3 linked regions of the Saccharomyces cerevisiae S288C genome follow. Changing the gene in region 1 together with any one later gene gives a genetic interaction. Each region holds a gene or a part of one and is shown in the gene's direction. Other genes may lie near its edges.

What was found. Genes that interact genetically often act in the same process or in processes that back each other up.
Region 2: mutations in YOR008C-A (region 1) and RMD1 together harm fitness more than expected from each alone (negative genetic interaction), as found in Saccharomyces cerevisiae (2 studies listed by BioGRID).
Region 3: mutations in YOR008C-A (region 1) and HSP30 together harm fitness more than expected from each alone (negative genetic interaction), as found in Saccharomyces cerevisiae (2 studies listed by BioGRID).

The regions. Positions count from the first base shown.
Region 1 is NC_001147.6:340,732-346,274, reverse strand, and holds YOR008C-A (uncharacterized protein), read left to right. Parts: upstream 1-3,193; coding exon 3,194-3,418; downstream 3,419-5,543. Other genes in the region: TIR2 (putative GPI-anchored mannoprotein), read left to right, coding at 1-80; TIR4 (Tir4p), read right to left, coding at 477-1,940; SLG1 (Slg1p), read left to right, coding at 3,861-4,997.
Region 2 is NC_001136.10:444,645-449,776, forward strand, and holds RMD1 (Rmd1p), read left to right. Parts: upstream 1-3,339; coding exon 3,340-4,632; downstream 4,633-5,132. Other genes in the region: MCD1 (kleisin alpha), read left to right, coding at 39-1,739; NHP10 (Nhp10p), read right to left, coding at 2,323-2,934. UniProt on the Saccharomyces cerevisiae protein: Required for sporulation where it is believed to have a role in meiotic nuclear division.
Region 3 is NC_001135.5:155,609-160,245, reverse strand, and holds HSP30 (Hsp30p), read left to right. Parts: upstream 1-3,138; coding exon 3,139-4,137; downstream 4,138-4,637. Other genes in the region: YCR023C (uncharacterized protein), read left to right, coding at 1-1,708; YCR022C (uncharacterized protein), read left to right, coding at 2,481-2,825. UniProt on the Saccharomyces cerevisiae protein: Probably cooperates with other heat shock proteins in the translocation of polypeptides through membranes. It may counteract the altering effect of heat shock on the plasma membrane.

The DNA.
Region 1 (5,543 bases):
AACAAACTGAAAACGGTGCTGCCAAGGCTGTCATCGGTATGGGTGCTGGTGTCATGGCCGCTGCCGCCATGTTATTATAATCTCATTTTTAAATGGAATTTTTAATGTTCGTATATACCAATTTATCTATTGAATAGTTTTTTTTAAATTTTACTGTTTCTTTTAAACCTCGAATTATTGTGAGAACTGATTTCATCAACTGGAGGCTGTAGTGTACGTTTTGAAAACGGAAATGATTTACCGTTTTCTTTTATGATGATGCTAGGATAGGCACCTTCAAACATGCATGTCTTCCTGCCCACATTCTGAAAATATTTAACGATGGATGAAAGAAATCAACAATAGAAAAGGCCAGTTGTCAGTTTTTATATAATACAGAGAAGTACATATGACAGTTTAAAAGTTAAGCATTAACTGGTAAGTTGAAATAATAATATAATCATAAGCGGAACGAACATTTTCGACACGTACTAAAATCATAGTAGCATGGCGGCAACAGCAGCTAAAGCACCGGCACCCATACCGATAACAGCCTTGGCAGCACCGTTTTCGGTTTGTTCAACGATACCGGTAGTTTTAGATTGAACGCTAACAACGGTAGCAGACTTCTTAGCTTGACAGGCGGAGTCACATACGGTAACTGTAGTCTTTAGTGTAGAGAAGTCAGTTGCAGTAGAGGTACCTTCTTTGCATGTACTGCAGATAGTAGCGGTTGAAACCTTAGTAGAATTGTTGTAACCGGTGGTGGAAGCTGGAACGGCAGATGTTGAAGAGTAGTCACAGACAGTGGTTTCTTTGGTGACAAGAGTGTTGTCAGTTTCAGTAACAGTGGTACCGTTTCTGGTTGAGATAATAACGCTGGAAGCAGAACTAGCTGGGGTGGTGGTGGTTGTGGAGTTGTAAGGAGCAATGGTCGAGATAGAAGTCTGGGCAGTGGAAGAAGAGCTAGCAATGGTTGAGTTGTAAGGAGCAACGCTTGAGCTAGCAGGTCCGGCCGAAGATGAAACAACTGAGGAAACTGGAGAGGAACTGACAGCTTCAGAAGAGGAAACGGCTGAGGAAGAACTGACAGAGGAAGAGCTAACAGACTCGGTCGAAGAGGAAACAGCGGAGGAAGATGTGACAGCAGAAGAACTAGTAGCTTCGCTTGTAGAAGAAGCAACGGAAGAGCTGACAACTTCACTTGAGGATGGCGCAACAGAGGAGCTGGCAACTTCACTTGAGGATGAAGCAACGGAAGAGCTGACAACTTCACTTGAGGATGGTGCAACGGAAGAGCTGACAACTTCACTTGAGGATGGCGCAACAGAGGAGCTGGCAACTTCACTTGAGGATGAAGCAACGGAAGAGCTGACAACTTCACTTGAGGATGGCGCAACAGAGGAGCTGGCAACTTCACTTGAGGATGAAGCAACGGAAGAGCTGACAACTTCACTTGAGGATGGTGCAACGGAAGAGCTGACAACTTCACTTGAGGATGGTGCAACGGAAGAGCTGACAACTTCACTTGAGGATGGTGCAACAGAAGAGCTAGTGGATGAAGCAATAGAAGAGCTAGCAACTTCACTTGAAGATGTGGCAGCAGAACTTGAGGTAGTTAGAGAAGCATCCATTGCTTCTAATTCTGGAAGCAGTCTAGAAGAGTACCATGGGACCATAGTCAACATATGCTCAACAGCAGAAAAGTCCACTTCAGAGTACAAAGTGGTGTAGGAGTCATCACTTGGATTTGCAACCAATTGCGCAGCAATATCCATAATACCAGCTGGCATTTGGTCCAAGGAAAAACCTGAATTTGGAGTGTAGGATAGGGTGATGTAGTCGGCAATGTTGGTCTTAACATCATCTAAAACAACGTTCAATTCGTTGATTTGTGCTTGGGTTTGAGCGTAAGCAATAGCAGCAAGAGCGGCTAGTAATGTGATTTTAGAGTAAGCCATATTTTTTATGGTATTAATAAGCGAGTGAATAGGTTTTTGTTGCTGGTTTCTATCAGAACAAGAGTAGGGAACGAGATAAGTAAACGGGCTAAAAACTGATCTGTCCTAGCGATCCTTCCCTTTTTATATTCGAAAGCTTGGGATCATATCTTACTGCGTGGAAAACAAAGAATTTGCATCCTCCCTTTTGGACTATCCTACTTGTTAGAAATGCATCGTTTAGGAACCCTGTTCTATTATTTTCCGTCATTTTTTGAGAATTTCCATTCCTTCTAAAAGTGGCAGATGGGTTGTTACGAGATTTTTACTGATAATTCGCGCGCAGCGTCGCCTCTCCGCGAGTTTCAGTGTAAGCTATTGTTGAAAAGTACTTCGTTTGCCTTTTTAAGTTGCCTTTGGTTGCCATTGTTGTATCTTCAGGGTTTTCTTCGGATCACATCAGCTGTGAGAGTACGGTTAAGTTTGGAAGTCACAACTCGATTATGCCAGTTCGTAAGTGAGCACTAGATGACCTTGCTTTCCCCGTACGAGCCGGTTACGGTAGCAACTTTTGTTTTCCTTGCGCGGAGTGTATGCCTATTCTGATCTTTAAATTTCCTGAAGTGTCTGTCGTGCGCCGTAAACGAATTATTACACACACACGAATCTGGGAAACCGTGAACCCCATACATTGTCTTTTTTTTTTCACAGTCCCTTATCAGTACCGTTTGGCTAACAAAAGCATAAAATATTGTTCGTTCAGATGACCCCTTCAGTACACCGCGTTTACAGTTTCAAAGTTCCTTTTAGAATAGCACCCTGTTCGCCGGCGGATAATTTGCACGCCGTATGAAGGAAGAACATATAAAAACGCAAAATATGAGGCATAAACAATCACAATATCCTCACCTTAGAAGTTAGCCGTAGCGGTTTTCTTGCGCGTGCTTGTTTCTTTTCTTAGTTCTAAGCTTCAGCAAACCCATCCACAATCTTTCTTCAAGAACTTTATCGTGTCTACTTCATAACAACCTGCTAAACAGATTGTGAAATCGTTCCTGCTCAAGCAAGTAGTTTATGATAAATCGTCTTGTAATAGCTCGGCAAAACAACATCATATATGAAAGTGTTTCAAGTTTTTTGCCTAGTAGCAGACTGGAAATTCCACCACCTCTCTTCCAGACTTCGGTTTACATAAGAACTTAATGGTGTGTAATTTTTTTACATACTTCTGGAAGCAGATATCATCGGCCCCCAAAGTCGCCTTCTGCAAAATAATGTGGAGATCTTATCTTGTTTTTCTCTTCTTTATGACACCAAGGATACAAACATATTGTCCTGTACCGGTACTAAGGTCAATGGCAGTATTAAATATTATCTCTCCGCTTATAATTTTTGTCAGTCCTATTAAAAAGCAAGACAGTTTACACAGCAGCGCTTGTTACGCAAATTTGACGTTAGTGGAAAAGCTGCAACTTTGGCATTCTATGTCAAACGATTAGTAATATAGTTGACTACTTTCGTAGAATTCCTTCCTCAAGAAAAATTTTCTCCGCCTTTCCTCTCTGAAGATGGAAATAACGCTGCATGGGGAAGAAAATAATGTAATTTTCGAAGCGAAAGCGAGAGAAACGGAGGGGAAAAATAAAAGTGTTTGGCGTATCATAGCCTCATTTGGAAGAATTTAACGCAGTGTAGTTTTCTTGGACGATACAGTAAACTCGACCAGGCACTAACATTACAGAAAATCTCGTATTGATATTGTTATTGCTTAAAGGGTAATCAAGGTAAACAAGAAAGAAGCTCCTCGTTGTCCGTAAATTTTTTAATAAGGAGAGAGAAAAAGAGAGATAACCAAGAGGAGAAAAAGGAATCTGCATCACATTTATTCAGGATAGTACGTTGGCTGATTTAGTACTCAGGATAAAAAATTCTATTTAAATAATGAGACCGAACAAAACAAGTCTGCTTCTGGCGTTATTATCCATTTTATCGCAAGCGAACGCCTATGAATACGTGAATTGTTTTAGCTCACTACCCTCTGACTTTTCAAAGGCCGATTCATATAACTGGCAGTCGAGTTCACACTGTAACAGTGAGTGTAGCGCAAAAGGTGCAAGCTACTTTGCCCTTTATAATCATTCAGAATGTTATTGTGGTGATACTAATCCATCTGGTTCGGAATCTACTTCCTCTTCATGTAATACGTATTGCTTTGGTTACAGCAGTGAGATGTGTGGTGGTGAAGATGCCTATTCTGTGTACCAACTTGACTCTGACACAAATAGCAATAGCATAAGCAGCTCAGATTCAAGTACGGAGTCTACTTCTGCGTCGTCTTCCACAACTTCTTCAACAACGTCCTCCACAACATCAACTACATCATCGACTACATCATCAACTACATCATCAATGGCGTCTTCCTCTACAGTACAGAATTCCCCCGAGTCAACTCAAGCAGCTGCCTCTATTTCAACGTCACAGAGTTCGAGCACTGTAACGTCAGAAAGCTCGCTAACTTCGGATACTTTGGCAACGAGCAGTACTAGCTCTCAATCACAGGACGCCACTTCGATAATCTATTCCACTACTTTTCACACTGAGGGCGGTTCCACAATTTTTGTCACGAACACCATCACGGCAAGTGCACAGAATTCAGGATCGGCCACAGGTACAGCTGGATCTGACTCTACGAGTGGAAGTAAAACTCATAAAAAGAAAGCCAATGTAGGGGCAATTGTAGGCGGCGTTGTAGGTGGTGTAGTGGGAGCCGTAGCCATTGCTCTTTGTATCTTGTTGATTGTCAGACACATTAATATGAAGCGGGAACAAGACAGGATGGAAAAGGAATACCAAGAGGCGATAAAACCAGTTGAGTACCCTGATAAACTATACGCCTCTTCATTTTCATCTAATCACGGGCCCTCTTCAGGTAGCTTCGAGGAGGAGCACACCAAAGGGCAAACTGATATTAACCCTTTCGACGACTCAAGGAGAATAAGTAACGGAACATTCATAAATGGCGGACCAGGAGGGAAAAACAACGTTTTAACAGTGGTCAATCCAGACGAAGCTGATTGAAGAAACCCAAAAAAAATTATTATATTCTTAAACTATTGCCAAGCAAGTCTTGTTCCTTCCCATTAATTTTTTCTTTTTCCGATTTCATTTTGCCAAATCATCTCCATTTTCACATTATGATGATCCTCTAAAAATTCATACATTTCGAATTTGAGAGCTGGAGAGCTGGAAGTAACGAGGAACATTAAATAGGAACAACAAAATTAGATTAGTTATTTTTTTTTCTACTCATTAATTTTTTTATGATATATTTGAATACCAACCTTAACTTAGTTACATAGATTTAACAAACATTAAACATGTTAATTCTTTGAAATGAATACCACCTAATAAAACTATACATTTTCAAAATAACAAATTGTTATGAAACTAATAGCTAATTATCTTCTAGTGACAATAACCACTTTACTAGAAATTATTAAAAAAATACCGCGTTGAAAGACGATATAAAGTAGGAGATTAATAAATTTATATTCATATTTTCTTCAATCTAATGAAATTGAAGCGCAAGGATTGATTATGTGATAGGATGCGTGAGTAGTAATG
Region 2 (5,132 bases), on another chromosome or scaffold:
CAACTCAATTGCACAATTACTTTACAAGAAACACGACAATGGTTACAGAAAATCCTCAACGTCTTACTGTTTTAAGACTTGCCACCAATAAGGGTCCATTAGCACAAATATGGCTTGCTTCAAATATGTCGAATATACCAAGAGGATCGGTTATCCAAACACATATTGCTGAATCAGCAAAGGAAATTGCAAAAGCTTCTGGCTGTGATGACGAATCAGGGGACAATGAATACATAACTTTACGAACATCTGGCGAATTACTTCAAGGCATTGTTCGTGTATATTCCAAACAGGCCACTTTTCTCCTTACAGATATAAAGGACACATTAACGAAGATAAGTATGTTATTTAAAACAAGCCAGAAGATGACTTCTACAGTAAACAGACTGAACACTGTAACAAGGGTTCATCAATTGATGTTAGAAGATGCCGTTACAGAAAGAGAAGTTTTGGTCACCCCAGGGTTAGAGTTCTTAGATGATACTACTATACCAGTGGGCTTAATGGCGCAGGAGAATTCGATGGAAAGAAAAGTCCAAGGTGCTGCTCCCTGGGATACTTCACTTGAGGTCGGTAGACGATTCAGTCCAGATGAAGATTTCGAACATAATAATTTGTCTAGTATGAACCTTGATTTTGACATCGAGGAAGGTCCGATAACTTCAAAATCTTGGGAAGAAGGAACAAGACAAAGCTCACGCAACTTTGATACGCACGAAAATTACATACAAGATGACGATTTCCCTCTTGATGATGCTGGAACTATTGGTTGGGATCTAGGGATTACCGAAAAAAATGACCAGAACAACGATGATGACGATAACTCTGTTGAGCAAGGAAGAAGGCTAGGTGAATCAATCATGTCTGAGGAGCCTACGGATTTTGGATTTGATCTGGATATAGAAAAAGAAGCACCCGCAGGCAATATAGATACGATAACCGATGCCATGACAGAATCACAGCCAAAACAAACTGGCACAAGAAGGAACTCAAAATTACTGAATACCAAAAGTATTCAAATCGATGAAGAAACAGAAAATTCAGAAAGCATAGCTTCATCCAATACATACAAAGAGGAGAGATCGAATAATTTATTGACTCCACAGCCCACCAATTTTACGACTAAAAGATTATGGAGTGAAATAACTGAAAGTATGTCCTATTTACCAGATCCAATCCTTAAGAACTTCTTATCCTACGAATCTCTAAAAAAAAGAAAAATACATAATGGGCGAGAAGGGTCAATTGAAGAACCTGAGTTAAACGTGTCGCTTAATCTTACCGACGATGTAATTAGTAATGCGGGAACAAACGATAACTCCTTCAATGAACTGACCGATAACATGTCAGACTTCGTACCAATTGATGCTGGCTTAAATGAGGCTCCTTTTCCTGAAGAGAATATCATCGACGCAAAGACTAGAAATGAGCAAACTACCATCCAAACTGAAAAAGTTCGTCCTACTCCCGGTGAGGTGGCTTCTAAAGCTATTGTTCAAATGGCGAAGATTTTAAGGAAGGAATTAAGCGAAGAAAAAGAAGTAATATTCACGGATGTACTAAAAAGTCAAGCAAATACAGAACCAGAAAATATTACTAAAAGAGAAGCCAGTAGAGGATTTTTCGATATTTTATCACTTGCTACAGAAGGATGTATTGGTTTGAGTCAAACAGAAGCATTCGGAAATATTAAAATAGACGCCAAACCTGCACTATTTGAAAGGTTTATCAATGCTTAAAACCTAGTTACGCCGAGGGGATTTCTTGGTGGACCCAATAAGCTGATGCATATATAGATCAAAGACTTTAATTTATAAAATTGTCAATATTTAATATTAATATTCACAAAATACGATAAAATTCAAACTAATGCGGTAGAGCCACTACTGGCCGCAAGGCAGAATGATCTTGGCAACTCTACACGCTGGTGCATGGGTAGTATTTATTCTAAAACTTGCTGTATTATTTTGAATAGTGATATTAGGAATCGTCTGCCCACGTACACCGGTGAAGCCGAAATTTTCTCATGGAAACCTTGGGAATAGAAGAAAGGTCCATTGTAAGTGCTACATACTGACCATCTTACATAATCTTACACAACCCTGGTAATAAAGCCACGTCTAGAAAGTTTTCCAGGCCAAACAATCTTCTTTTCCATTAGCTTTGGTACATTAGCAGCCAGAGGAAACATTATGCAGTTTTTAAAGGCTCAACTTTTTATCTAATATACAAAACAATAAAGTTGAACAATTTCTGGATAAAGCGCCTAGAACGTCTTACGATATCTTCAAAGAAAATAGAAAAAAATGGAATTTTTAATTTTTAGTTAGAGGAAACTAAACTTCCATCTTCACCTCCTTTAGAATCAGCTACTTTTGTAGATGATCCTTCCTCGTTATTTTTTATCTTCTGTTCATTCTCTTCTTTATCATCATCCGCATCTATATTAGATATCTTTTTATTATATATTTCCATTTCCATCTGGTATCTTTCTCTGTCCTCACTATAAAGCTTATAGTACGGTTTCCTATCTTGTTCGTTAAGATTTTTCCAACCTTCTGCCAGATCTCTTGTCACGTCCAGAGAGCCATTCTGCCTAATCCTTTCCTTATTCATTTCACAGTACAATAAGTATGCATTTGTGGGCCTCTTGGGCATATTCGGATCTCTTTCCTTTACTTTGTGTCTTTTAGTTTTAGATTTTCGAAATGGCTTCGTCAATAGTTCCTGTTTGAAGGAGGCCAGAGTCGGCAATGGATCCTCACAGTTTAACTCAGGATCAAGTTCTATCCTGGATTCCAACCTCTCCAGTAAAACACCGTATTCTAATTTGAGTCTTTTCACCGAAAGTCGTGACCTTTGGATTGCAAGTCCAAGCACCACATTCTGATCTTTCAATTCTTCAAGTCTGCGCTTTTTTTCTTCAACTGACATTTCTTATGTGTTACTATTACCTATATCCTGGCTGCTTCTCATCCAATTCTAGCCCCTAGAACGATTTAATATATATGTGCGTGGTAATCATTTCCTTATATTTTAATTGAAATCCTTCCTTTCTCAGAAGAAAATCTTTTTTCTAAGGAAAATGGAGAACCGTCGGCTCCTTTTGCTTTACTGGTGTATTCTTGTTTTTTCTGTTTGATAATGCGATTTAGGGCGAAAAACTGCTGACAATACCTTGTCCGCTTTCGTGCACAAGATTTCTTAGCACGAAAATATATCAAGTAACCGTAAAATTATTCCTTTGCCGACTATCACCGTAACTGCGGCTAAACAAATCTGTCCAACTACTACTCAGCTTAAATTAGCATTTTAAATACATTTAATATTCAATTAGTCATGGTAGATAGTAATGATGATCAACCGGAACGCCATGCATTACTTCATAATGACATCCAAACATCAAATAACAGTAGGCCATCACTGGTCCAAAAAAAGTACTTACCTACCCCACAAGATACAAGAAAGTCTAGAGCATCGTATACAGGAAGTGCCATGATCAACCCGACAAGTAAACAAAGTCGTACAGGATCGGGCGCTCAAAGAACATCACGCACAGCACAGAAACTAAAACTTTTGCCAGAAGAACCATTCCAAAGAGATAGCGAAAGACTTACTGATTTAAAGAATCAGGAAGTATATTCTCAGGTAAACAGGATAAAAGATAAGCCTGCTAGAAGGGATGCTGAAAAGTTGGGAAAAGCTCACAGACATTTACTCCCCAGGTCAACTGCATATTGTACTGCTAGCAGTTACAATATGAAAGAGCTGGTAAGGTGGTTAAAGGACTGTCGAAAGCTACATCATACTCATCCTAAATTGTTTGATGAATGCTTGTACACTCCCTTCATTTACAACGATTGGAGGGGCGACAAAAGATTTGAGGATGAAGATGTGATTAGGTTGGATGATGAGGGCGGTGAAATTATTGTTAGTGACAAGCACCCAGATCTGTTTATCTTTGAATATGGTGTTGTCGTTATGTGGGGGTTTACTGAAAGAGAAGAAAAAGCTTTCTTAAACGATATAGAAAAGTTCGAAAAAGAAAAATTGGCGGAAGAAGATATTCAAGTTGAAGAGTTCAATTATTATGTCACAAAAAGTTATCAACCAAGAATATATAACGATTTTATTACCTTGAGAGATGGTTCAAATTACATGGTAAAACTCTCTATCTCTCATGCAATTGCTCAAAGCGTAAAAATTTCACTTTTCGAAGAGCTTGTGGATAATACTATTGAAGATACTCAGGATATACCACAAGAAATTGCATACAGCGGTAAAGTTTCTATGAGCAAAGAAGATATAATGAAAAGTATAGGGGAGCTATTCATTTTGAGGATAAATATCAATCTACATGGATCAGTTTTAGACTCTCCAGAAATTATGTGGTCAGAACCACAGTTAGAACCCATATACCAAGCAACAAGAGGTTACTTAGAGATCAATCAGCGCGTTTCACTTTTAAATCAAAGACTCGAGGTCATTTCAGATCTTCTTCAAATGTTGAAGGAACAGCTGGGCCATTCTCATGAAGAATATCTTGAATTTATTGTCATATTACTAGTTGGTGTGGAAGTCCTAATATCGGTGATCAATATAGTGGTTGACATGCTGGCTAGTCAACATTGAGCCTTTTGATCATGCAAATATATTACGGTATTTTACAATCAAATATCAAACTTAACTATTGACTTTATAACTTATTTAGGTGGTAACATTCTTATAAAAAAGAAAAAAATTACTGCAAAACAGTACTAGCTTTTAACTTGTATCCTAGGTTATCTATGCTGTCTCACCATAGAGAATATTACCTATTTCAGAATGTATGTCCATGATTCGCCGGGTAAATACATATAATACACAAATCTGGCTTAATAAAGTCTATAATATATCTCATAAAGAAGTGCTAAATTGGCTAGTGCTATATATTTTTAAGAAAATTTCTTTTGACTAAGTCCATATCGACTTTGTAAAAGTTCACATTAGCATACATATATTACACGAGCCAGAAATAGTAACTTTTGCCTAAATCACAAATTGCAAAATTTAATTGCTTGCAAAAGGTCACATGCTTATAATCAACTTTTTTAAAAATTTAAAATACTTTTTTATTTTTTATTTTTAAACAT
Region 3 (4,637 bases), on another chromosome or scaffold:
CATGGTTAGAGATTTTAATATTGCTCCCAATGATGCTCAAGTGTCCAAATATTCAGGTTATTTATCTTCATCATTTGCGTTATGCCAAGTCATATCTGCGTACCACTGGGGTAGATTCTCTGAAAAGCATGGCAGAAAAATAACATTGACTTGCGGGCTTATAGGAACATCTGTATCATTGTTAATACTGGGATTTTCACGCAATTTCTATCAGGCTTTGGTGGCAAGAAGTTTAATGGGATTGCTAAATGGTAACGTCGGCGTTATTAGAACCATTATTGGTGAAATAGCAACTGAAAGAAAACATCAGGCTTTAGCTTTCAGTACTATGCCTTTATTATTTCAATTTGGTGCCGTTGTTGGGCCTATGATCGGTGGGTTTCTTGTATTTAGAGATGGAACAATGAATGAAGTGCCACTATGGTTTCCACATTTTGCAAAAAGAATAATTAGGTCATATCCGTACGCCTTGCCAAACGTGGTAGTGTGCATGTTTTTGATGTTTGGTTTAACTAATGCAACATTGTTTTTGGAAGAAACACATCCTGCTTTTAAAGATAGAAGAGATTACGGTTTAGAGGTCGGTGATTTTATTAAGAAGAATATATTTGGTATACAGCCGAAAAGAAGACCCTGGCAAAAGCGCATTCAGGATGATTCGGAAAACATTCACCACCGTAATGAGAATGTGAACAGCATTCGAGGACAAGATAGTGAAGAGGATGAAAATAGTCCCCTAGTGAATACTACCAATGACGATGATACTGAAAGCATACAATCGATTGATCCTATTTTAACAAGAAGACAGTCTGTAGGCCTGATTAGGACATATTCTCTGCATGAACCAACAGACGCTGTGCATGCCAATATAGATACAGCTCCAGACGGTTGTAAAGAAAGTAGTATATTTCATCACGTTTTTCATACAAAAGTATTTTACCCTATATCGGTGAATTTTATTATGGCTTTACATTTGATTGTATACAACGAATTTTTGCCTGTTTTTTTAGCTTATGATTTAGCCGTAGATCCAGAAAATCCAAAGAAGCTGGCTTCAAAATTTCCGTGGAAAATATCTGGCGGTATAGGTTATGAACCAGAACAAACCGGTACTCTTTTGTCGACAACAGGTATCTTTGGTTGTTTTGTGGTTATTTTCATTTTTCCCATAGTTGATCGAAATTTCGATTGTTTAACAATTTTCAGAACTTTAGTCAAGCTGTACCCTATTATGTACGTTATGGTTCCTTACGTTGTTTTTCTACAGAATGAACGGATTCCTAGCTGGTATACTGTCGTCTACTTGTACATAATCACAGGGATAAAAACATTTTGTGGCGCTTTAACGTCACCACAAATTATGTTATTAATTCATAATTCGAGTCCCTTGAGTTGTAGATCAGTCATCAATGGCGCCACCATTAGTATTTCTGCCTCTGCTCGTTTCATAGGTCCCTTAGTATGGGGCTATATTATGTCTTGGTCCCAGCAAAATGACGTCGCCTGGGTCAGTTGGTGGTCGTTAAGTCTTTTTTGTATGGTAGCTCTTTATCAAAGTTATAAGATAGCACCAATTGATGATAACGAAAATGAGCTTCATGGACAGGGTAGTGAAGATGCCTACAATTCGCAGTCACAGTCTTCTGATTTAAGAATGGCTCATCGATCTAGTTTAAGCAGCTTAAGTAACCAACGCTGTACCACATGAGAAATTTTTTTTCAGAAGGCTTGCAAAAAGGATATCTAATAAAAAAAAAAATGAACTCCAGTAGATTTTAGATATCAACCATAACTGGCGAAAATTTGCACCTTTTTGATGAGAGCATGTTATGTCAAGGCATGGCCGCGTGATGGCATTGCACTCAAGATAGTTTCCGGAATTATTATACTCCTTATGTAAATTTCAATCCGTTTATGTAATTATATCCAGGAACTCAATTTGACCAGACAAGTAATGGCGCCCATTTTGAGCGAGAGAACCCATTTTTCTATACAAATTTCACTAGAGCACGGCCGTTACATTTAGTAATAGCCAATAAGGGTTTTTTATCGATTAGTGTTCCCTGCGCTCCTTAACATCATACAACCGAGTACTTGACATGGAGATAGTAGGCAAGTAAACCAAAGTCCTTTCTTCAAAAGTAGAAAACTTGAGCACTTATTTCCTGCGCATGTCATATGTTAATTTTCCTCAACTGCGCTGAATACGTCCTGTCAATTCAAATATATCACGTTGTGAGCAGCCCTGAAGAAGAAAACCTCAACAGCAGTATTACTATTACAATCAAACAACTTTAGTGCCGCGTGATACCGGGGGTTGAAGTGGGTGCATTGAGCCGTATTCTTCTTCCCCGTAAGAAAGTTGTGTATCCTTTTTACTGCGTTGTAATAGCTTCTGAAAACCTAAAAAATGAACGCTATGTAGCTCATATCCGTTTTGCATAAGTAAGAATAACTACTTGTGCAGGGTGCCGAAAGGGATGGAAAACCGCTGCAGCAACCCTTGTTACATACAGTCGGATCCATCTGACTTACTTTCCTTGCGTCTCCCTGCGCGATTTTGTTGGCCATTTTCCAGATCCTCTAGAATTTTTCAAGGGTCGAGCCGTAGGAGGATTCTCTCAGAAGGCAAAAACGCATCGAAAGCGTGCTTTGTAAGAATATTTGGTATGGCTAAAGTAAGCAAAGCCATATCCCGATCCCGATCCCGACTCTTATTCCGATCCCTTCCGCCACATCCTGCATGTTTATTCGAATACCAAATTAGCTCATCTTCGTTATTTCATCATCCCTTTCTGCTATGGCAAGGACAAGTTTTTTTCTAGCATCTCATCGAAAACTTTCCTCTCCCTAATTGGCCAAAGTTTTCATATTCATCATCAGTTAGAAAGTATAATATCAATCCCTTACCTCATTACAAGTTGTATCACACTAAAAAAATCATATATAAGTCTGTGAGAGTCTTCAATTATTTAGCGTAACACCTATTCACTTTCTAATCTTGTTTCTTGTTTTTACATTCTGCAATACAACACAACAACAAATATTAACTCAATTATTATTATTTATAATTACAAAAACAAAACAACAAGTTTGAGACTTTAATATCTTTTGATTACTAAAAACAACAAATTTCAAATGAACGATACGCTATCAAGCTTTTTAAATCGTAACGAGGCTTTAGGGCTTAATCCACCACATGGCCTGGATATGCACATTACCAAGAGAGGTTCGGATTGGTTATGGGCAGTGTTTGCAGTCTTTGGCTTTATATTGCTATGCTATGTTGTGATGTTCTTCATTGCGGAGAACAAGGGCTCCAGATTGACTAGATATGCCTTAGCTCCTGCATTTTTGATCACTTTCTTTGAATTTTTTGCTTTCTTCACTTATGCTTCTGATTTAGGTTGGACTGGTGTTCAAGCTGAATTTAACCACGTCAAGGTTAGCAAGTCTATCACAGGTGAAGTTCCCGGTATTAGACAAATCTTTTACTCGAAATATATTGCCTGGTTCTTGTCCTGGCCATGCCTTTTATTTTTAATCGAGTTAGCCGCTAGTACTACTGGTGAGAATGACGACATTTCCGCCTTGGATATGGTACATTCGCTGTTAATTCAAATCGTGGGTACCTTATTCTGGGTTGTTTCGCTATTAGTTGGTTCATTGATCAAGTCCACCTACAAGTGGGGTTATTACACCATTGGTGCTGTCGCTATGTTGGTTACCCAAGGTGTGATATGCCAACGTCAATTCTTCAATTTGAAAACTAGAGGGTTCAATGCACTTATGCTGTGTACCTGCATGGTAATCGTTTGGTTGTACTTTATCTGTTGGGGTCTAAGTGATGGTGGTAACCGTATTCAACCAGACGGTGAGGCTATCTTTTATGGTGTTTTGGATTTATGTGTATTTGCCATTTATCCATGTTACTTGCTAATTGCAGTCAGCCGTGATGGCAAATTGCCAAGGCTATCTTTGACAGGAGGATTCTCTCATCACCATGCTACGGACGATGTGGAAGATGCGGCTCCTGAAACAAAAGAAGCTGTTCCAGAGAGCCCAAGAGCATCTGGAGAGACTGCAATCCACGAACCCGAACCTGAAGCAGAGCAAGCTGTCGAAGATACTGCTTAGAGCAGCTTGAGATTGTCTTAATCATTCTTTGCTTAACACATTTCAAAACATCAGTTTTCTTCTTTTAATGTCACTAATGAAACTTAATATTTAATAATCTAATTTTAATTTCTTTATGAAATATGCAAAATAAATTATATACACAAACACAATAATTAATAATCTAATCTCATTTTTCCAAAATCAAGAAATGTTCTTACTGCTTCCATGCCTGAATAGTCTAATCGATAGTAGGCCATTTCAATTCTTTTTAGTTATATGGAGACGCAAACACCACTTTATTTTAGCGTACCCTACCAAAATTAAACGATAATATGGTATTTTTATTCTCATTTGTTACACTCTATTCTGTATCACTGGATACATTCGCGGTAACTTGTTTTATAAAGTGAGATGGGATTTATGACCATTAGATGCATATAAAAGCTTCCAAATAATAATAAGATATTGTGACTTTTGGTGAACTAGATACGCTTTGAAATTCTTCATTTGTAATGAAG